Xenopus tropicalis: one gene and its partner. The protein of the gene in region 1 purifies or fractionates together with the protein of each later gene. This does not show direct contact. Links are inferred from orthologs where the notes say so. Each region holds a gene or a part of one and is shown on either strand. Other genes may lie near its edges. The genes, in order: slc38a9 and lamtor4.

Region 1 (11,420 bases):
TGTATTAAGAGAACCACTAAAAGAGAAAAGTAAAGTACAGTCAAGAAAATAGAACTTGTCAACTCACTATGGAAAGTATGGATTCATGCAGCTTAGTGACCATTAAATACAAAATAATGTTTTATTATTACAGAGAAAAAGAAAATAGAGTTATGGAGAGATGGCCCTTCTGTAATACAGAGCTTTCCCAATAATGGGTTTTCAGATATGGCATCCTATACCTGTACTATGGTTTGGCCTTCTACCATCCACAGGTTTTTGTAATTTATGCACACCATTACTGAAGATGGCACTTTAAGCTACTGGGATATTTGCAGTCAAATTATTTTTCAACACACTTGCTGCCCAGATGCCTCATATCTGTTCCTTACTCTAAGGGGCACATTCATTGAAGCACGATGATCACGATTGCGAACAATTTGTATTTTTTTCTAACTTTTGGTACTCCGTTAAAATAGTACGACTTTTTTGTGATAAGTTCGTAATTACACGAAAAAGTCGTACTTTTCGAACTTTGCGCAACGACAACGAAAATTTCGGAATTCATTCAAGCTTTGGTATCGTGACTATCTTTTGGCCAGGTTGGAGCTGCAGAGTGCCAATGAGCCCTATGGGAGACTTTCCTTGGGCCGGGTTGGAGCTGCAGAGTGCCATTGAGTCCTATGGGAGACTTTCCTTGGGCCAGGTTGGAGCTGCAGAGTGCCATTGAGCCCTATGGGAGACTTTCCTTGGGCCAGGTTGGAGCTGCAGAGTGCCATTGAGCCCTATGGGAGACTTTCCTTGGGCCAGGTTGGAGCTGCAGAGTGCCATTGAGCCCTATGGGAGACTTTCCTTGGGCCAGGTTGGAGCTGTAGAGTGCCAATGAGCCCTATGGGAGACTTTCCTTGGGTGGGGTTGGAGCTGCAGAGTGCCATAGAGCCCTATGGGAGACTTTCCTTGGGCCGGGTTGGAGCTGCAGAGTGCCATTGAGTCCTATGGGAGACTTTCCTTGGGCCAGGTTGGAGCTGCAGAGTGCCATTGAGCCCTATGGGAGACTTTCCTTGGGCGGGGTTGGAGCTGCAGAGTGCCATAGAGCCCTATGGGAGACTTTCCTTGGGCTGGGTTGGAGCTGCAGAGTGCCATAGAGCCCTATGGGAGACTTTCCTTGGGCCAGGTTGGAGCTGCAGAGTGCCATTGAGCCCTATGGGAGACTTTCCTTGGGCCAGGTTGGAGCTGCAGAGTGCCATTGAGCTCTATGGGACACTTTCCTTGGGCCGGGTTGGAGCTGCAGAGTGCCATTGAGCCCTATGGGAGACTTTCCTTGGGCCAGGTTGGAGCTGCAGGGTGCCATTGAGCCCTATGGGAGACTTTCCTTGGGCCGGGTTGGAGCTGCAGAGTGCCATTGAGCCCTATGGGAGACTTTCCTTGGGCCGGGTTGGAGCTGCAGAGTGCCATTGAGCCCTATGGGAGACTTTCCTTGGGCCGGGTTGGAGCTGCAGAGTGCCATTGAGCCCTATGGGAGACTTTCCTTGGGCCGGGTTGGAGCTGCAGAGTGCCATTGAGCCCTATGGGAGACTTTCCTTGGGCCGGGTTGGAGCTGCAGAGTGCCATTGAGCCCTATGGGAGACTTTCCTTGGGCGGGGTTGGAGCTGCAGAGTGCCATAGAGCCCTATGGGAGACTTTCCTTGGGCTGGGTTGGAGCTGCAGAGTGCCATAGAGCCCTATGGGAGACTTTCCTTGGGCCAGGTTGGAGCTGCAGAGTGCCATTGAGCTCTATGGGAGACTTTCCTTGGGCCGGGTTGGAGCAGCAGAGTGCCATTGAGCCCTATGGGAGACTTTCCTTGGGCCGGGTTGGAGCAGCAGAGTGCCATTGAGCCCTATGGGAGACTTTCCTTGGGCCAGGTTGGAGCTGCAGAGTGCCATTGAGCCCTATGGGAGACTTTCCTTGGGCCAGGTTGGAGCTGCAGGGTGCCATTGAGCCCTATGGGAGACTTTCCTTGGGCCGGGTTGGAGCTGCAGAGTGCCATTGAGCCCTATGGGAGACTTTCCTTGGGCCGGGTTGGAGCTGCAGAGTGCCATTGAGCCCTATGGGAGACTTCCAAAATCATGCATTGAAGTTTCAAAGTCAGAAAGGTTTTTGCGCCGTTTACAATCGTTTGAATACGAAAATTTTGTAACTTTCGGATCGCAACCACGATATTTTCGTACGACCACGACATGAATTTTCACGCAATTTACACACATCAGAAATTATCATGGTTACTACGAAATTTTTCCAATCATGCTTTTAACAATCCAAAATTTGTGCTTTAACGAATGTCCCCCTAAGTGTGAAATTAGAAAGCGGGTGAGTTTTTTTAAATGAGCTCTATTTACTCCTATGGGATTTTTAGAAGCATAGTTATAAAATGGTGAACTTCAACCCTTTGATAAATATGCTTCTAAAAATCCCATAGGAGTGAATAGAAAGTGGGTGAGTTTTTCTGTAGGGAGCTGTAATTTCACACAAATGTAGCCCTATATGATGATTTTTAAAATGTAAATAGTAGTACTACTTGCAGAGGGTATGGGTAGCAGCCCCCATACAGCTGGTGAGAGCTATAAGAGACTCTGTAACATGCGCACTCAAATAATCAATAGCAAATCAAATACTTCTTTATTAAATCAGGATGTCAAAAGTTAAAAATCTTTAAAAACCAAAATGCTCCCCCATAATCTTGCATATACCCATAGCCTCCATAATGGAAACCCTGATGCAAGTTGTTATGCAGTATCATCATAGATAAATCACCAATCATATTATAACATATGTAGTGTAACAACAGCTCAGAAGCACCATCCTCCACAAGTATCGCATCTGAAGGCTTTGACCAAGGGATAATTGTGGTTTTTAAATGTTTTTATCTTTTGACATCTTATATATAATTTGTAGCTCACTTTTCTTTAATACAGATGTGCATTTTTTATTGATTATTGTAGTGTGCATGTTACAGGGTGTATTATAGCTTCCACCATTTGTATGGGTGCTGTTCTTTTCCTCGTTTCAATGACTTTAAACTGTGCGCCTAACCTTAATCAGAATATCAATGTAAATAGTATAGTGATATTATAAAAAACAATGAAATACACTGCAAAACTGTTACAACAATTCCTGCTGCTCTTTAAAGGAGAAGGAAAGTCCTTTTGGCATTTTACTGCCAATAGATTTGCCACATTAGTGCCACCTAGAACGCTATATTTATTCTGCAGAAAGCATTACTATACCTGAGTAAAGAGCCCTAGAAGCTCCCTCCAATAGCAGCTGCCATTTTAGCTTGGTCTTGGTAGCTTCCTGCTGCAGTTATAGCCACTGGAAGCTCAGATCACACATTCCTAAGGGAGGGGGAAGTGAGTTCTTATGCAAGAAACCCTGCAGCTATTCTGTGAGTGCTAATGGCTGTATTTACATAAACCTTTCTGATAAAGCTTACACCTCAGCCTCAGGCTGTAATCACTTACATTGTTTACCTGTTCACACCTCAGACATTGTATGCAGGGTCGGACTGGGGGGTAAAGGGCCCACCAGGGCTCCTGACCCAGGGGCCCCCGCCGGTCGCGTCCCCTAATTGCCCCCCAGGGGCCCCCCTGACCCCCCTCGCTGGGGGGAGCGCAGGCAAGGGCCAGGTCTGGGCCGCCAGGGCCCACTAGAGCTGGGGCCCACCAGGATTTTTCCCGGTATCCCGGCAGCCCAGTCCGACCCTGATTGTATGTACTGCCTGGCCTAGGCAGCATAGGGCAGGCAGAGTATGGCACACACAGGCAGCATAGGGCAGGGAGGGGAAACACACAGGCAGCACAGGGAAGGCAGAGTATGGCACACACAGGCAGCATAGGGCAGGGAGGGGAACACACAGGAAGCACAGGGAAGGCAGAGTATGGCACACACAGGCCGGGTAGGGAAGGCAGAGTATGGCACACACAGGCAGCATAGGGAAGGCAGAGTATGGCACACACAGGCAGCATAGGGCAGGCAGAGTATGACACACACATGCAGCATAGGGCAGGCAGAGTATGGCACACACAGGCAGCATAGGGCAGGCAGAGTATGGTACACACAGGCCGGGTAGGGAAGGCAGAGTATGGCACACACAGGCAGCATAGGGCAGGCAGAGTATGGTACACACAGGCCGGGTAGGGAAGGCAGAGTATGGCACACACAGGCAGCATAGGGCAGGCAGAGTATGGCACACACAGGCAGGGTAGGGAAGGCAGAGTATGGCACAAACAGGCCGGGTAGGGAAGGCAGAGTATGGCACACACAGTCATGGTATTAAGCTATTGCACAAGATAAAGCCTACAGCAATCCAATCCATTCCAAGCTGCTACCACAAAAAAATAGTTTTATTTAGTTGCTGTTTATATTTTTAATCAACTAGCAAATAATGAAATATAATTTTTTTTTTATATAAGCAATTTAAAAAATTAAACATCATAAAAATCATTCTGACAAACCAGCCTTACGGTTGCGCAACTATACAGTGAATCAACTGCAAAATAGCTTTTCCCTGTAATTTTTTCTTTGCGGTTTTTTGTCTTTTTTTGCGCCTGACATCCGGTAAGTCCTTGCAGTCAGTGACAAGCTCTTTCATCTGCAATTTTTCTTGCTTGTTTGGTTAAAAGAACGTCTCACTCAGCAGTAAGGCACTTCTTTCTTCACCAAAACAAGCGCGGACGTAGTGCAGCGATGCACTGTGGGTAATGTAGTTCGCTCCTGTGGGTTGTTTGCAGGAAATAAGGAGCGCTGGACTACATTCCCACCATGCTTGTCGCCTGTTACTGCCTAACCTAACTCAGCTGCGTCTTGTTTTGAAGCTTTCAGGGAAGTTGCAGGAGCATGGAAGCCGGTCGCTTGGTGTAGTGGAAGGTACATCATTTGTTACAGATTCACTTATGCTCTTGGCTTTACGCCGAATAAACCCAGCACTGCCGGGCACCAGGCGGGCCTAAAGAATACGAATGTCTGGTTAATTAATTAAGCGTTAACTTTGTATGGGAATGGCTATTTTGTCTGGTGGGGTTCGTAGATATATAGATATATCCCTGCAGCAAGAGTAGCGCTATTTACGTACAGCAGCGTTTCTGTGCAACCAGTTGTGAGTTAAAGTGTCCTGCCTTAGCCTTGCTTTTATGGCTCAGTGACTTACAACTTTTTTGGAAGGGGGGGGGGGGGTTAGACTTGTGGAATGAGGCCCGAATTCCTACAGCAGCAATTCCCTGACTGTGTGACCCATAGCAATGGCAAGGAGGGGGCTGGGGGCAGGTCCATTAGTCGATCGCACAGGTTAGAAAATTTGGGTCGTATAATGATGAAAATCTATGTATTTATTGTGTATCTGTGGAAATCCTTGGGTAACCTGCAGTGTATTTCTGAGACGTCGCTTTCGTACAATTGTTGTCTGCCAATAATTTTATGCGACTTTATCCTACAATTTCTGAATGTTAGTTTTAGATCATTGCATTGAACCATACGATCGACATCCGAACGTTTGTCTAAAGAAGGATGAAATCTTCTTGTATGACCGCCTTAAAGGGGAAGGAAAGGCTAAGTCACTTTGGGGGTGCTAAAATGTTAAGCACTCCCAAGTGACTTTAATCGCTTACCTCGTACCCCGGGCTGGTGCCCCTATTAGGAGAAAACCGCACCAGCCCGGGGCACCTGGGGCGATGTGCCATATCCTTCTGCCTTCGTTAAGCCTTGACTGTGAGTCCGGCGCATGCGCAGTAGAGTGAAAAGCCGACTTCTCTGTTAAAGTTCCACTATTCACTCTACTGCGCATGCGCGCGCGGCGAAGGAGGAAGCGATGCAGGTACCCCGGGCTGGTGCTGGTCTCTCCATACAGGGGCACCAGCCCGGGGTAAAAGGTAAGCGATTCAAGTCACTTGGGGGTGCCTAACATTTTGGCACCCCCAAGTGACTTAGCTTTTCCTTCTCCTTTAAGCAGGCCATTGGCCAAAAGTTAGGCCTGCAAAGGGTGCTTAAGGTGGCCAAAAATGGGCAGATTTCAGCTTCCGATTCAGATCCTTCAGATGGATTCCTTCTGCCGGTGTATGGGCATTCTCAACAGGCGTACCTGACCAGCCAGATCCCAATTGGGCAGGTTTGATTTTCCCATTGGATTGGGGACTGTATCGGCTTGTTGATGCCCACCTTGTGTGAGCATGTCGGAAGAAGATCCACTTGTTTGGCAAGGTCACCAAAGGGGTGGTTCACCTTTAAGTTAACTTTTAGTATATTATATAAAGACCAATTCTAAGCTAATTTTCAATTGGCCTTCTTTGTTTATTTTTTATAGTTTTTAAATTATTTGCCTTCTTCTTCTAACTCTTTGTAGCCTTCAAACAGGGGTCACTAACCCCCAGCAGCCTGAAAACTTGCTCCATGAGACTACAATTTTACTTTCTATTTTCTATCTACTTTCTATTTCTACTTTTTATAACTTGTATTCCTTGGTTGCTAAGGTAATTTAGACCCTAGCAACCAGATAGCTGCTGTATATTAGTGCATAGCATAGTTTTTATTACTGTTTATAATGAAAAAAGCATTATATTGCATACTTAGGCTAATGTCAGACCAGGCGTATGGAGTATATTTTCGGCAAGCTGAAAAACGCTTGCCGAAAATACCGACATACGCCTGGTCTAACATTAACTTAAGGTAGAAATGCTAATGGCAGATGCGGTTGATTCTCAGATGCAGATAAACATGGACCAAGAATTCATCTCTTCATTGGCATCAGCCTTTCCCTGTGCCAGCACCTTGAATCATTGCATGGGGCTGGGTGCAGGCACACGGAGTGGACTTTGGCACCAAACGCACAAGTATGCATTTCAGCACTAATATTTACTCGTGCCAGCACCTGGCTCTGGCACCAGCGTAGCGGCTGATTTTCACCCTGCGTTTATCTGCTGTCCAAGAATCAGCTCTATCTGGCATTAGTCTAAATGATAGGTCTTTCAGTAATTCAGTAAGCCCTACATTACAAGGTTTACAAGATGAATTTAGTGCATTTGGTGGACTTGTGAGTGTCCCTGAGATTTTGGGAGCTGGTGGCTTTCCGAAGTTTTTTATTGTAGGATTTAAGCCAATGCCATCCCATTTAACCCAGTTATGAGAATCTCTACTCTAAGGCTAGTGTCACACAGGGCTTATTGCTGAGGTCATCAGACTGGCTGATTTTTGGCCTGTAAAAAAAAAGTAAAAAGTACCTTTATTTGGTATTTGATTGAAAATATAAAGAGCAATATAAGCCCAAAACCAATTTTTGGCCTCTGCCCTCTACTGTGCCTGCATTCACAGGCACTGTATCAGCCTGGGTGCATACTCATGGATTTTGAGTATGCACAGAAATCTGAAATGTGGCTGCATCCAGGGCAAAGCAGTATTGTAATTGCAGATATGGGAGAGGGCAGAGGCTGTCAGATAGGTCCTGTTTGATACAAGCCTAAAGATACAGAGCCATTGCAAACTAGAAACCTGTATCCTTACAGCAGCTGGATCCCTTCTAGCAGCCAGCTCGCAAAAGACAAACCTTCCAGTGAAACATAAAATTACAGGGTAATTATAGGGTAAAACTTTTTATATATAACAAAAGTGTTGTAAACATGACACCTACGTTTAGTCTAAGGGCATTAGCACCTGGTAAGTTTTGTCACCGGAATGTAATCTACTTTAGCAGAAGTAAATACATTTGCATTAGGGACAGTTTTATTACGTGTGAGAGTTCACCACAGTAAAAGTTCCCCATTATCTGTTTATTCTTATGGGATTTTTAGAGGCATATTTATCAAATGGTGAACTCTAACTTTCAACCACTGCCAAATGCACCTCTTAAAATCCCATAGGAATGAATAGAGTGGGAGAGTTTTACTGTGGTGAGCTCTAATTTTACACTTATACTGATTTATCTGTGTGAATGTAAATGGCCAGTGGTAAAACATTTGAATCACATAAGCGATGGAAAATGCAGGAGAAGGTAGTTTTCAGGGCTTACATGATTCAGATGGTTTACCACAAGTGATTCACTCTGACACTAATGCAAAGGGATTTTTTTTTTTTTGCATTTTGTCACCCATGCTGGGGGAAGACTAATAACTTTCCCTATAACTTTTTGAATGGCTAACATGGGACATCACCTTTACTGAGTAGGATATACGCAGATTAATGCCAAACTGTTCCTGCTGCTCTGCCTGCATATAAATACAGGAGGAGAATAAAACAATCTACTCTGTGGTGTAAGTGTGCTGACAAGCAGTGGTCTAAGCTTGTGTGCACACACATGGAGCAGATTTTTGAGTAGTAATGCAAAACTATGCATTTTCACACCGACATCTGTCATGTTTGTGTACAGGCTGACACTGCAAATAGGAGTTGTCTTTTTCTCCTCTTGTGTTTATACGCAGGTGGAGTTACAGCCTGTTGTGGCCTTAGCCATATAGTAAAGGTAAAATAGATTGCAGCAACGAAAAACAAGTGATGATCTTAATGTTAAACCCTACAATGGGAATAAATGGTACTTTTAGTCAGAATAACTCTCATCCCTGCACCATAAACATAAAAGTCCATTGCCCCTGGTAAACTGCTACATTGGCAGGTATAGCACTGCCAGTAAAGTTGTTCACCTTCTAGTATGATGTAGAGTATGATTTGCAGTTGATCTTCATTTTTTTATTTTTTTTAATTATTTGACTTTTTTCCAGCAGCTCTCCTTTTTGGAATTTCAGTAGTTCATTGGTTGCCAGGGTTCAAAATTAGCAAGCAGGCAGTAGTTTGAAAGAGAGACAGGAATATGAATAGAGGAGGGCCTAAATAGAAAAATAAGTAATAAAAAGTAACAACAACAATAAAATTGTAAGCTTGCAAAGCAATAGTTTTTTGGCTGCTGGGGTCAGCTACCCCCTTTAGAAGCTGGAAAGAAGGCAAATGATTCAGAAACTATACAAAATAAATAATGAAGACAAATTGAAAAGTTGCTTAGAATTGGTAATTCTGTAACATACAAAAAGTTGCCTTAAAGGTGAACCACCCCTTTAAAGGGTATTCATGCATTTTAAAGTAATTGTAATGCCATTATCCTTTCCTTTTCCTTTATCTGTAATGTAAGTGTGTGCCTTATAGCCCAGTTTTAACTTGAATAACTTACTCCATGGCTACACAGCAACTTATTTATATAAACCCTTCACACTATGTTACACGCTGTGTTTTTATCCCATATTATTATGAAGTCCAATCAAGGCATAAAAGCACCAAATAATCACTGTAACATGCTTGTTGTAAAACACACACACATTACATGCTGATATCTGCCAAAATATGTCACAATGTGTTTTTACCACACATAAGATCTTGCCTGGATTGCTGGCATATTAAGGATGATTGCTTAATTTACGCGATCATTTCTTTCATTATATGACATTATTACATGGTAATATTACAGAATTCCCGCTATACCCTTTGTTCAGGTCCCTGCATTCACTTCAGGCATTTTGGTGGCTCATTATCAATATAATCATACAGTCCTCAAATATGCCTTTCTTCAAACAGTTTGTTTGCATTTTGTGTTATTATGTGCAGCAGCATGCATGCTGATGTTCATATTAATGTAATGAGGAGGTGGTTTGTGGGAAACATAAATAGGGCAGCAGAACAAATCACGGGCATTTTAGATACACCTAGCTGATATGTGTGTTAAAACGCTAATATCCTCCACAGCATTTTTCCATAATAATGTTGGTGTAATTCCATACAAATGCCAGGAGGCAACTTTGCGCGACTTCGGAATACGGAAGCGATGCAAAGGGCTTTCCTCTGGAGCATTTCGGAAGGGTTAGTCACCCGTGATAGCAGAGATCTGTCGTGGGCAACTGAACTTGGGATATCAGCCTTACTATTCATGTGTATATATATATATATATATATATATATATAATTTTTTTTTTTTTTTTTAAGCCTTTGTTGTCTTGTTTTATAGATCTGTCTATCGAACTGAGCCTGTAACAACAACAATGGACAGTGACCAGACACCTTTAATTAATCCTTCATTGTTTGAAGAATGTGCCCAGAATCATTTTGCTGCAACAGATCCTAGAAGCAGAAGGTAATGTATTTATGTGCTAATTGCAAATTATATCTAAAGGCTGAAGTGTTGCATAGGTATGGGATCCATTATCCTGAAACGCGTTACCCAGAGAGCTCCAAATTATGGAAAGGCCATCTCCCATAGACTCCATTTAAGCATATAATTTGGAATTTTAAAAAATATTCCCTTTTTTCAGTAATAGTAGAACAGTAGCATGTAATTTATCCCAACTAAGATATAATTACCCCTTATTGGGGGCAGAACAGCCCTATTGGGTTTATTTAATGGTTAAATGATTCCCTTTTCTCTGTAATAATAAAACAGTACCTGTACTTGATCCCAACTAAAATATAATTAATCCTTATTGAGGCAAAACAATCCTATTGGGTTTATTTAATCTTTTTTAACAGACTTTGAGTATGGAGACCCAAATAATGGAAATATCCCTTATTTGGAAAACCCCTGGTCCTAAGCAGTCTGTATAATATGTTGCCATTTCCACATTTGTGTTCCTACGTGTTATTATTTTTTGGTTTTCTGCCCAGCCTGTAGGTTAGTGGTTGGAGATCTCTAATATAATCCCTTAACATAATTAATAATAATAGATTGCTTGTGTAATGTAATGATATAGATCGGGGCATTTGAAATGGTGTTTCATACATACATATGGAACACGAGTATGTTTGCAGTTCTTTAAAATAATGTTTATTTCGGAATAATGAATTTTTTGTAGTAAATGTAATAAAAATAAATTATATCTAGCCACTGCATTTGTACCATTAGTTGATATTACATTTCCTAGAAGTTTTTTTTACACAATGGTCACATGTCTCAGCAGGAAATCCTCTTGGACAAAATTCCACTAAAAAGGGAGGAAAAATCACTGTTTTCTTAGAATGTTATCAAACTAAATATTCAAAGCAGCAACAACAATTCTCTTCATATTGAACACTGGTGGGGCTTTTAAAATATATGAAGTGCTACCAGACTTGCCTCAAAAGTGCCAAACGAGGCAGCTTCCACTAATAAGTTATATTAATATATGTAGCAAAATCATTTTCTGTCCATACATAAAGCTGTGTCATCATACAGGTTTGGGGTCTATTATCCAGAATGCTTCGGACCTGTGGCTTTTCAGATAAGGAATCTTTGTGTACTTTAGAGTACTACCGGATACAGTTTGCTTCCGTTAGTTGATGATTGAGAGCATGAGTTCTTTTTACAGCTTGACATATAACAGGGTTTGAGAAGTGGACAATTTGGCCATTTCAGAACTGGAGGAATTATTTTATATGATTTAATTGACTTTCATAATTTTATTCTTGC
Region 2 (11,377 bases), on another chromosome or scaffold:
AAATTGCAAAACGCCAATGCAAGGTACTAGTCGTGCACCCCGTTCAGTGACACCCAGCATTCACCGGGGCGGAGACGAGCCAATGGGAGACCGGACTGGAACAGAGAATTTGGGGTACGGACTGGGGCACCTAGGACTGAGGAGGAGGATGGGCCAGCAGTCGGGATTCTTATATACTACTGATGTATACACCGGGGGAATAAGAGAAAGGGAGGCGGGGCTGCTGTTAGCCCAACCCTTGGCCACTCCCCCTTTCTCTTACAAGCTATTTTTTTCTTTCCTTTCCATAATAATGTTTACATTTTTTGACATTTCATTGGGTACGTAACCAAAAGAGGTTCAAGTATTTTAATTTATAAGAAGAGATGGAAAGGCCGATGCTCAGGATCACTCGGTGGGAGCTGCCATACATAGGATAATACCCGCCCACCATACATAGGATAATGCCCCTGAGTCATTGGCCACTGTCCTGCTGTAATAATAGACATAGGGGGGTAAGTAAAGGTATTTATGTCCGTGACCAAAGGATACACCCCCCTATTACAATGACTACTGAATAATCCTTATTATGGAAAGTGGGGGGCCACGTCGCTCCTGTCGCACCGGGTCGAGTTACTGATATTATATATATATATATATTGGGCTGTAACTGGAATATCCTCGCCTGAAACTTGAATTACTGCTGCACGTATTGTACCATTTGCCAATATCGGGGGGCAGAGGAGCCCCCCACCCCCCCGCACTTGACCACTCCACCTTTCCTGCCGATACTTGAGCGCTTTCTGTGACCCACAAACCGCAGACACTGGGAGTTTTATAAGTTTTTATATGTTGTTTCTTATGTGTTGCCCTGTGTTACGGCCGCGCACTTTATGTTTTAATAAATGTCTCTAATTTATTTTGAACAAAGGCAAAAAAAAAATACAGAGGTTTAAAGGAAACGAGCGTCAGTGAAGTCTCTCTTTCTGCCCCACTGTGTATACTATATCCATGGCTGCAGGGCCGCCATCAGAAATCACGGGGCCCCTCACAACAAAGTTTTCTGGGCCCCCTCCTCCCACACCCTGCCCCCTCCCATCAGTAGGAAGGACACACAGGCTTTGGTAGCCAGGGATTACATTTTGCATTGGTGCTAGGGCAGCGACCCCCTAAAACATTGCTAGCCAGTCCAGGGCCCCCTAAAACATTGATGGTCCTCCCCCAGTGTCCTCATACTATAGCCCACTCCCCGCTGCTTCCTGCTCCCCCACATGTCCTCCAGCATCCTTCCCAACATCCTCCAGCGTCCTCCCCCCAGCATCCTTTAGCTCCCCCCAGGATCCTCCCTAACATCCTCCAGCATCCATCCCAGCATCCTCCCTAATATCCTCCAGCATCCTCCCTCCAGCTCCCCCCCCGCATCCCCCCTCAGTATCCTCCAGGTTCCCACCTCACCTTAGCATCCTCCAGCGTCCTTCCACCAGCATCCTCCCGCTCCCCCCCCCAGCATCCATCCCAACATCCTCCAGCTCCCCCCAGGATCCCTCTTAACATCCTCCAGCATCCTCCCTCCAGCTCCCCCCTCATTATCCTCCAGGTTCCCAACTTAGCATCCTCCAGCTCCCCCCTCCCCCAGCGACCTACAGTTTCCTGTGGCTCCCCCCAGCATCCTCCCCAACATCCTCCAGCGTCCTCCCCCAAACATCCTCCAGCTCCCCCAGCATTCTCCTTAACATGCTAGGATGGATGCTGGGGGGAAGGACGCTGGAGGTCCTCCCCCCAGCATCCTCCCTAACATCCTCCAGCGTCCTCCCTCCACAGCTCCCCCCCCCCGCAGTATCCTTCAGGTTCCCCCCTTAGCATCCTCCCCAACATCCTCCAGGTCCCCCCACCCCCCAGCAACCTACAGCTTCCTGTGGCTCCCCCCAGCGACCTACAGCTTCCTGTAGCTCCCCCCAGCGACCTCCTGCTTCCTCCATCCTTCAGCTGCATCCCACACTTTTATCCGGTTGCGCCCCGTGCTTACTGACGTCACACGCAACCAATCAGGGCCCGTAATTCTTTAAAGGGGGCCCGAGCTAGTAAAACTGTATCACGACCGGGCCCCCTTTAAAGAACGAGGATCGCCCGTGCCTGGGAAAACTCCCCCCTGTGGGCGGCCCTGCATGGCTGCTCCTCGTCATTATACAGTGGGTTGGATGTGGGAGGAGTCCTATTTACACCACATCGGCAAAAAACTGGCAGGGGCTTATTTCCTGTATTAAATCCATAGGTGCCATGTTGGTAGGAGAGAGCATCCCCCATTCATTGTTCCACCATCTTGGGTGGGGCAGCCTGGGATTCCCACATCCAACAAGGTGAATTTAAAGGGATACGCCCTTTGGAACATACTATCATCCCCACGTTTTCTTTACAAAAACCATTTCTACTCTAAAAAGAAACAAGGGGGTGTGGTGTCAGGTATTCCCCATAGGGATAGGTTATGGGGGACCAGGGGGGAGCTGAAGCTGAAGTAGACGGGACAGAGCACAGCAGCCATTAAAGCACTGCACATATAAAAGGGCATTTTGGGTTTGACTTGTCCTTTAATGCGACCCTAAGGAATGAGAGAGGCAGGCCCGACCCAGGCAGTACCAACAATATATATATTTATTAGGGGATGGGAAGCCCCCCGTGTAACCCGCAGCAGAGAGCTGGAACATTCGATCCTGCGGAAAAGGTTGCTAGGGCAACAGTGGGGGGGTCATTAAATAGGCCGTGTAGTACAGTCACTTCATATTGGGCACGAGAATGGAGGGTGAGGCTTTGCTAGACACTGATTGGCTCCCGCACCACGTTCTGCCGCTTCACCACGTAGATCTTCTGTCCGGAAATGGTGACGAGAAACGTGTGCTCCCCAAATACGACTGCGAGGGGAAAAGGGGGGCAAAGGAATGAGTTGGACTTCAAAGCTCCATCAGGACTCCCCCAGCCCCTCGATTAGGGCAAATTCTCCCATACTGCTCTGTTTACCCCAGCCCATACCCGCCCCTTATAGAAACACCAGTTTTGGTTGGTTGGGAGGGATGGGGCGGAGTCAGGAAATCCCTGAGCAGACATTATAGTGTACCCCAGTACATGCCCCGCTGTGTGCCCATCTCTCCTATCGCTCCCCCCCCCGTTCTTACTACTCATGCGTTTGAATGGCTGCTGGTCCCCGAGATCCCGGAAGGAGCACGCTACGGCCACCATCTCCCTGATCACTCCCGCCAGGCGTTCGTCATTCTCCAAATCACCGGCGCTCTGTAAGGACACAAAAAGGTCCCCCATTTCAGTGGTTGTCATGGTAACATGGCACGAGGAGAGAAAATGATAAATCAGATAACTCCCAGAATGCCCTGACAGTGTGTGGCGGTGGGAGTAGTAGTTTAACAACATCAAAGGGTTATATTGCCTTACCGCCAGCACCCCTCCATCCTCGCTCATTACCAGATACCCCATCTGGTCTGGGATCCGCTCCAGGCCCTGCGTCATGGTGGAGGTCTGAGGAGGAACAGGAGAAAGACTGGTTACTGTACCCCAATGTATGCAAGTTACCCCCTAAACCCCACTAACAGCTTCTTTAAACATTAATAAAGGCACCAAGTTTGCCCTGCTGTCACTTCGCGATTTAGTAATGAATTCAGATTCACATTACATGGCGGCATAGAAATCAGTGCAGTCTGCATCAGACTTGATAGTGCTGTAGCACCAGCTTAATAGTGTGATGATTCCCCACGACCCCTAAGCAGCAGCCCAGAGCCCACGGAGCACGTGCAGTGCCACTGGCACACACAAGGTGCCTAACCAGATCCAAGATGGGGAGCTGCTGGGGGCAACTTTGAAGGCCTGGATCATTACTGTTATTAGGGCCGCCATCAGGGGGGCACAGTACCTGGCCAATCTTCACTTTTAAAGGGCGGCCCGGCCGTGCTACAGTTTTCTGACTGGCTCGTGCCCCATTTAATTTCTTACGGGCCCTGTCATCCGATTGGTCGCGCCCCATGCGTACATGTGTGACATCAGTACCTAACCTTATAAAAGGGCCTGTCTCGAGGAGCCCGAAGTCGTCGCTGAAGAAGAAGCTGCAGAAGAAGACGCTGACTTCGGAGGGCACTTTCTATGGGGCAATTGGGGGCACTGTTTATGGGGGCAAAGTCTATGGGGGCTATTGGAGGCACTGTCTATGGGGGCTATTGGAGGCACTGTCTATGGGGGCAATTGGGGGCACTGTCTATGGGGCAACTGGGGGCACTGTCTATGGGGCAACTGGGGCCCTGGTCAGCATAGCGTTACGGGGCACTGTCAATGGGATGCCCTGGCCAGCAAAGCGTTAGGGGGCACTGTGTATGGGGGGCCCTGGCCAGCATAGCGTTAGGGGCACTGTGTATTGGGGAAATTGGGGGCACTATGTATGGGGGGCCCTGGCCAGCACAGCCTTAGGGGGCACTGTGTATGGGGGGCCCTGGCCAGCATAGCCTTAGGGGGCACTGTGTATGGGGGGCCCTGGCCAGCATAGCATTAGGGGGCACTGTGTATGGGGGGCCCTGGCCAGCATAGCATTAGGGGCACTGTGTATGGGGGGCCCTGGCCAGCATAGCATTAGGGGGCACTGTGTATGGGGGGCCCTGGCCAGCATAGCCTTAGGGGCACTGGTGTATGGGGGGCCCTGGCCAGCATAGCATTAGGGGGCACTGTGTATGGGGGGCCCTGGCCAGCACAGCCTTATGGGGCACTGTATGTGAGGCCCTGGCCAGCATAGCATTAGGGGGCACTGTGTATGGGGCCCTGGCCAGCATAGCATTAGGGGGCACTGTGTATGGGGGCCCTGGCCAGCATAGCATTAGGGGCACTGTGTATGGGGGGCCCTGGCCAGCATAGCATTAGGGGGCACTGTGTATGGGGGGCCCTGGCCAGCATAGCATTAGGGGGCACTGTGTATGGGGGGTCCTGGCCAGCATAGCATTAGGGGGCACTGTGTATGGGGGCCCTGGCCAGCATAGCATTAGGGGGCACTGTGAATGAGGGGGGGGAAGCTGGGGAAGATGCTAGGGTGGAGCTGGAGGATGCTGGGAGGGAGCTGAAGGATGCTAGGGGGGGGAGTTGGAGGATGCTGGGAGGGAGCTGAAGGATGCTAGGGGGGGAGTTGGAGGATGCTGGGAGGGAGCTGAAGGATGCTAGGGGGGGGGGAGTTGGAGGATGCTGGGAGGGAGCTGAAGGATGCTAGGGGGGGGAGTTGGAGGATGCTGGGAGGGAGCTGAAGGATGCTAGGGGGGGAGTTGGAGGATGCTGGGAGGGAGCTGAAGGATGCTAGGGGGGAGTTGGAGGATGCTGGGAGGGAGCTGAAGGATGCTAGGGGGGAAGTTGGAGGATGCTGGGGGGGAGCTGGAGGATGCTAGGGGGGGGGGAGTTGGAGGATGGTTGGGGGGGAGCTGGAGGATGGTTGGGGGGGAGCTGGAGGATGGTTGGGGGGAGTTGGAGGATGCTAGGGGGGAGTTGGAGGATGCTAGGGGGGGAGTTGGAGGATGCTAGGGGGGGAGTTGGAGGATGCTAGGGGGGGAGTTGGAGGATGCTGGGGGGGAGCTGGAGGATGCTGGGGGGAGCTGGAGGATGCTAGGGGGGGGAGTTGGAGGATGCTAGGGGGGGAGCTGGAGGATGCTGGGGGGGAGCTGGAGGATGGTTGGGGGGAGCTGGAGGATGCTAGGGGGGGAGCTGGAGGATGCTAGGGGGGAGCTGGAGGATGCTAGGCGGGGAGCTGGAGGATGCTAGGGGGGGAGTTGGAGGATGCTGGGGGGAGCTGGAGGATGCTAGGGGGGGAGTTGGAGGATGCTGGGGGGAGCTGGAGGATGCTGGGGGGAGCTGGAGGATGCTAGGGGGGAGCTGGAGGATGCTAGGGGGGGAGTTGGAGGATGCTGGGGGGGAGCTGGAGGATGGTTGGGGAAACTGGAGGAAGTAGGGGAGCAGGAATCAGCGGGGTGGGTCATAGTATGAGGACACTGGGGGGGGGCAGCAATGTTTTAGGGGGCCCTGGGCTGGCTACCAATGTATGTGTGTCCTTTGTACTGATGGGAGTGGTCACTGGCGGAGGGGCCATTGGGAGGAGGGGGGCCCAGAAAAGTTTATTGTGAGGGGCCCCGTGATTTCTGATGGCGGCCCTACACACACACACACACAATATTGCCTTATAGGGGCGAAGATTTCCTGATTCAACTAACACACCGCAGCCAATCAAGGTTAGGAGTTTAGAAATAATAATACCAAGCTTCTGATTGGCTGCTATTGGGTTCGAGTCCCGGACAAGCCGTGCGGGGGGGGCGTATCCCGAAGCGCTGAAGTCCCGGAGGCTGATGTAGTGCAGCAACCTACTGATCCCAAGCCCCTGCAGTCTGACACTGGCGCCATACATACAGCCCCACATTGCAGAACATTAGTGCCGATTGCAGCCGCCCCCATAAGCCTCACACACCCCGCTCTTCCCTTCATACAATCAACCACTCACCATCTCTGCAACTTCCCTCCGGCAGCACCGCTAGTACGCTCCTTCTTCCGGCATCGCCTTTCCACCCTTGCTACTGGTTCTAGCAGCCATCAATCACACGTCTAACCACAGCGATTCGCTAGCTGGTTTTGTCATGTAAAACTATAGCACGCCTCTTTGTTTGGCAGGGGTGCTTACTCACATGATCTTATGCTTTTTTCCGATTGGTTCAACTGCATGTCAATCTAAAATTCAGGGGCGCTATTGTTAGTTTGATTGGCTTTACTTTTCTTCTGCCGGCGAATAGGACGTCAGTGATACCGCTTAGCAACGATAAGGCGGGACCTTCACATGCTCAAAACCAGCGCCAAAGCGCCTTGCCACATTAGTTGTGAAATGTCTTTGTAAGAGTGTTGTAATAACTGGAAGCGGCCAGTGACGTTCTAAGCATTTTTAGTCTAGAAATATTATGTGTTGTAGTGTTTATAGAGAGTTTGGTGAAAGATTTTCTCCTCAGACACAATAATGTGAGAAATGTGTGAGGGGGAGATATATATATATATATATATATAAACACACACACTGTATATAGATTACATGTGGCTGTGCCACACTGCTGCACATAAGTATATATGAAATGATCATTCTGACCAATTATTTCTAATTCTTTCTCATTTCTCATTACCCTTCCTCGTCCCCCTCTCAGCCAGTCCGTGTGTCTGTACATGAAAGAGCTCCTCCCCACCTCCCCATTTTGTTATGGCTGTTGCCCAGTGGGGTAACATGACAGAGCCAAGCAGTGTTAGGCCGCTGCTGCCTGGGAGTAATTATAGAGAGCCAGGAACACCCCCAAACAATATCACCTCTATGCACGTCAGGAAGAGGAGCCACTCCTTTAAGGCTTGGCTGTGCTATAAAATCCGGTGCAGCCAACACTGGGCATTCCTATTGCAGATCATAAAGGAATCGCCCATCTGCTAGGAACCCAAAGCGCCTAATCATAAAACTTGTTACTCATGAGTTGCACCCATGTGTCAGTAGGGAGTAGGAAACGTTTATACGGCCCAGAAGCTTCCTATATGGGAACAGCACCATCCAGGATAGTCCATGGCATCTGTGTACAGCAAACATACATTTTGATTTAGCCCAGTGAGTGGCAACAAGCTGTATACCGGAACCCATAGATCATAGTCAAATAGTCTACTGCTCTGATTGGCTACAGGTTGATCTAGCCCTGTAAACATTAAATGCACCGATTGGCTACAGCCTTATTTGGCTTGCTGAATGTCCTCATACTCTGATTGGCTATAGGTGGGTCTAGTCATGTGAATGTCCTTATACTCTGATTGGCTATAGGTGGGTCTAGCCATGCGAATGTCTTCATACTCTGATTGGCTATAGGTGGGTCTAGCCATGTAAATGTTCTCATACTCTGATTGGCTATAGGTGGGTCTAGCCATGTGAATGTCCTCATACTCTGATTGGCTATAGGTGGGTCTAGCCATGTGAATGTCCTCATACTCTGATTGGCTATAGGTGGGTCTAGCCATGCGAATGTCTTCATACTCTGATTGGCTATAGGTGGGTCTAGCCATGTAAATGTTCTCATACTCTGATTGGCTATAGGTGGGTCTAGCCATGAGAATGTCTTCATACTCTCATTGGCTATAGGTGGGTCTAGCCATGTGAATGTTCTCATACTCTGATTGGCTATAGGTGGGTCTAGCCATGTGAATGTCCTCATACTCTGATTGGCTATAGGTGGGTCTAGCCATGTGAATGTCCTCATACTCTGATTGGCTATAGGTTGGTCTAGTCATGTGAATGTCCTTATACTCTGATTGGCTATAGGTTGGTCTAGTCATGTGAATGTCTTCATACTCTGATTGGCTATAGGTGGGTCTAGCCATGCGAATGTCCTCATACTCTGATTGGCTATAGGTGGGTCTAGCCATGCGAATGTCTTCATACTCTGACTGGCTATAGGTGGGTCTAGCCATGTGAATGTCCTGATACTCTGATTGGCTATAGGTTGGTCTAGCCATGTGAATTGTCCTCATACTCTGATTGGCTATAGGTTGGTCTAGCCATGTGAATGTCCTCATACTCTGATTGGCTATAGGTGGGTCTATCCATTTGAATGTCCTTATACTCTGATTGGCTATAGTTGGGTCTAGCCATTTGAACGTCCTTATACTCTTATTGGCTATAGGTGGGTCTAGCCATGTGAATGTCCTCATACTCTAGAAACACCACTGCCAGTCTTTACCTCTGACTATTAGTGATATCGATAGGAATCTTAGCCTCGGCCTGCCTGGAGTTCTCTGATAGGCCTGAGAGGCCTCTAGTGTTCTGGCCAATCCCAGCTTGCGCCTCTGTGCCTTGGTACCCATGAATATATGCAGGGAAGTATTTAGGTGGCCGCTGGATTTCCACTGGTAGGTCTGGCAGCGGCTGGGGCAGGTTTGTTGATTATATAGGCACCCAAAGCTGCTGCCCTGGGCACAGTCCCTTGGGTGCCTATATAAATATGACCCTGAATATATGTATGTGTTTCCTTTTAGTTCCCACAGCAGAGACCATTTCATTTGGCCATTTTTTGTTCCACAATAGAGGGACCCTATCTAAAAGTGCTGCCTTTCAGTAAGTATAAATAGTATTTAGTATAATAAAAGAAGCATACCCGATGGAATTCAGATTTATTATTTCATTGCCAGCAAATACGAATCCGCCTGGAGCGTCTAACAGGGTAGATAAGGGCCCTCCCTGAGCCGTGGCTGCACTAAAGTAAGTGCAACAGTGCACTAAAGTAATTAAGTGGAACAGATAAGGTGAAAGTCTCCGTAACATTTACAGATAAGAAACAAGGTTAAGGCCAACCTGATACTAACAATAAGTGTAATATACAGTGCGATGTTGAATAAATCTGGATTCGCCATAGATTCCATTCATTTTACAGTTTGAGCGCTCCCCCCATTTAACACTTTTGTTGCAAGAGTAACAGTCCTGCATTTCTGGCTGCTGAGTATTTCAGATATAACATGACTAAAACGATATAAAGGATAAAGATATGATGATGCTGAGTTACCCCAGAGGGGTGTAAAGGCCACATCCAATCAGCACCTGATTTAGTTATGCATCTGCATGGGTTCTGGCAGCAACATAGGCCCCCACTAGAGCGAGGCAGAACAGGGCGCACATATAAAGGATAACCACAACGCCGGCAAAGATGTACACTGCTGTGATGACCCAGAAGGCGTACAGGTACAGGACGCGGTTACATCGTTTGGGGGATTCTGGAGAGTCCCAAGGTTCCTGATACAGAGAATATACCCACACATTGCCTGAGGAAGAGAGTAGTCTGATTAATTGCATATTAACCCATTCACTCAACACTACTTCCTTCTCATAGGTAGCATCACTTCCTGGCTCTGTGACTCCCTGCACTCCTTTCCTGCTGGTAGCATCACTTCCTGGCTCTGTGACTCCCTGCGCTCCCTTCCTGCCGGTAGCATCACTTCCTGGCTCTGTGACTCCCTGCGCTCCCTTCCTGCCGGTAGCATCACTTCCTGGCTCTGTGACTCCCTGCGCTCCCTTCCTGCTGCTAGCATCACTTCCTGGCTCTGTGACTCCCTGCACTCCTTTCCTGCCGGTAGCATCACTTCCTGGCTCTGTGACTCCCTGCGCTCCCTTCCTGCCGGTAGCATCACTTCCTGGCTCTGTGACTCCCTGTGCTCCCTTCCTGCCGGTAGCATCACTTCCTGGCTCTGTGACTCCCTGCGCTCCCTTCCTGCTGCTAGCATCACTTCCTGGCTCAGTGACTCCCTGCACTCCTTTCCTGCCGGTAGCATCACTTCCTGGCTCTGTGACTCCCTGTGCTCCCTTCCTGCCGGTAGCATCACTTCCTGGCTCTGTGACTCCCTGCGCTCCCTTCCTGCTGCTAGCATCACTTCCTGGCTCTGTGACTCCCTGCGCTCCCTTCCTGCTGCTAGCATCACTTCCTGGCTCTGTGACTCCCTGCACTCCTTTCCTGCCGGTAGCATCACTTCCTGGCTCTGTGACTCCCTGTGCTCCCTTCCTGCCGGTAGCATCACTTCCTGGCTCTGTGACTCCCTGCGCTCCCTTCCTGCTGCTAGCATCACTTCCTGGCTCTGTGACTCCCTGCACTCCTTTCCTGCCGGTAGCATCACTTCCTGGCTCTGTGACTCCCTGTGCTCCCTTCCTGCCGGTAGCATCACTTCCTGGCTCTGTGACTCCCTGCGCTCCCTTCCTGCCGGTAGCATCACTTCCTGGCTCTGTGACTCCCTGCGCTCCCTTCCTGCCGGTAGCATCACTTCCTGGCTCTGTGACTCCCTGCGCTCCCTTCCTGCTGCTAAACACTTATAGCATCACTTCCTGGCTCTGTGACTCCCTGCGCTCCCTTCCTGCCGGTAGCATCACTTCCTGGCTCTGTGACTCCCTGCGCTCCCTTCCTGCCGGTAGCATCACTTCCTGGCTCTGTGACTCCCTGCGCTCCCTTCCTGCCGGTAGCATCACTTCCTGGCTCTGTGACTCCCTGCGCTCCCTTCCTGCCGGTAGCATCACTTCCTGGCTCTGTGACTCCCTGCGCTCCCTTCCTGCTGCTAAACACTTATAGCATCACTTCCTGGCTCTGTGACTCCCTGCGCTCCCTTCCTGCCGGTAGCATCACTTCCTGGCTCTGTGACTCCCTGCGCTCCCTTCCTGCCGGTAGCATCACTTCCTGGCTCTGTGACTCCCTGCGCTCCCTTCCTGCCGGTAGCATCACTTCCTGGCTCTGTGACTCCCTGCGCTCCCTTCCTGCCGGTAGCATCACTTCCTGGCTCTGTGACTCCCTGCATTCCCTTCCTGCCGGTAGCATCACTTCCTGGCTCTGTGACTCCC

The links.
Region 2: the proteins of slc38a9 (region 1) and lamtor4 purify together in Homo sapiens (affinity purification with mass spectrometry; 4 studies listed by BioGRID and IntAct, with this or other methods). This does not show direct contact. The link is inferred for Xenopus tropicalis from reciprocal best matches to the Homo sapiens genes SLC38A9 and LAMTOR4.

Annotation. Positions count from the first base shown.
Region 1 is NC_030677.2:191,428,628-191,440,047, forward strand, and holds the start of slc38a9 (sodium-coupled neutral amino acid transporter 9), read left to right. Parts: upstream 1-4,830; 5' UTR 4,831-4,882; intron 4,883-9,986; 5' UTR 9,987-10,020; coding exon 10,021-10,112; intron 10,113-11,420.
Region 2 is NC_030679.2:143,861,400-143,872,776, reverse strand, and holds lamtor4 (ragulator complex protein LAMTOR4), read right to left. Parts: upstream 6,538-11,377; 5' UTR 6,500-6,537; coding exon 6,497-6,499; intron 6,465-6,496; exon of another isoform or gene 6,256-6,464; intron 3,502-6,255; coding exon 3,418-3,501; intron 3,262-3,417; coding exon 3,147-3,261; intron 2,886-3,146; coding exon 2,788-2,885; 3' UTR 2,606-2,787; downstream 1-2,605. Other genes in the region: map11 (uncharacterized protein C7orf43 homolog), read left to right, coding at 1-50; uncharacterized protein LOC733758, read right to left, coding at 9,608-9,819. UniProt on the Homo sapiens protein: As part of the Ragulator complex it is involved in amino acid sensing and activation of mTORC1, a signaling complex promoting cell growth in response to growth factors, energy levels, and amino acids.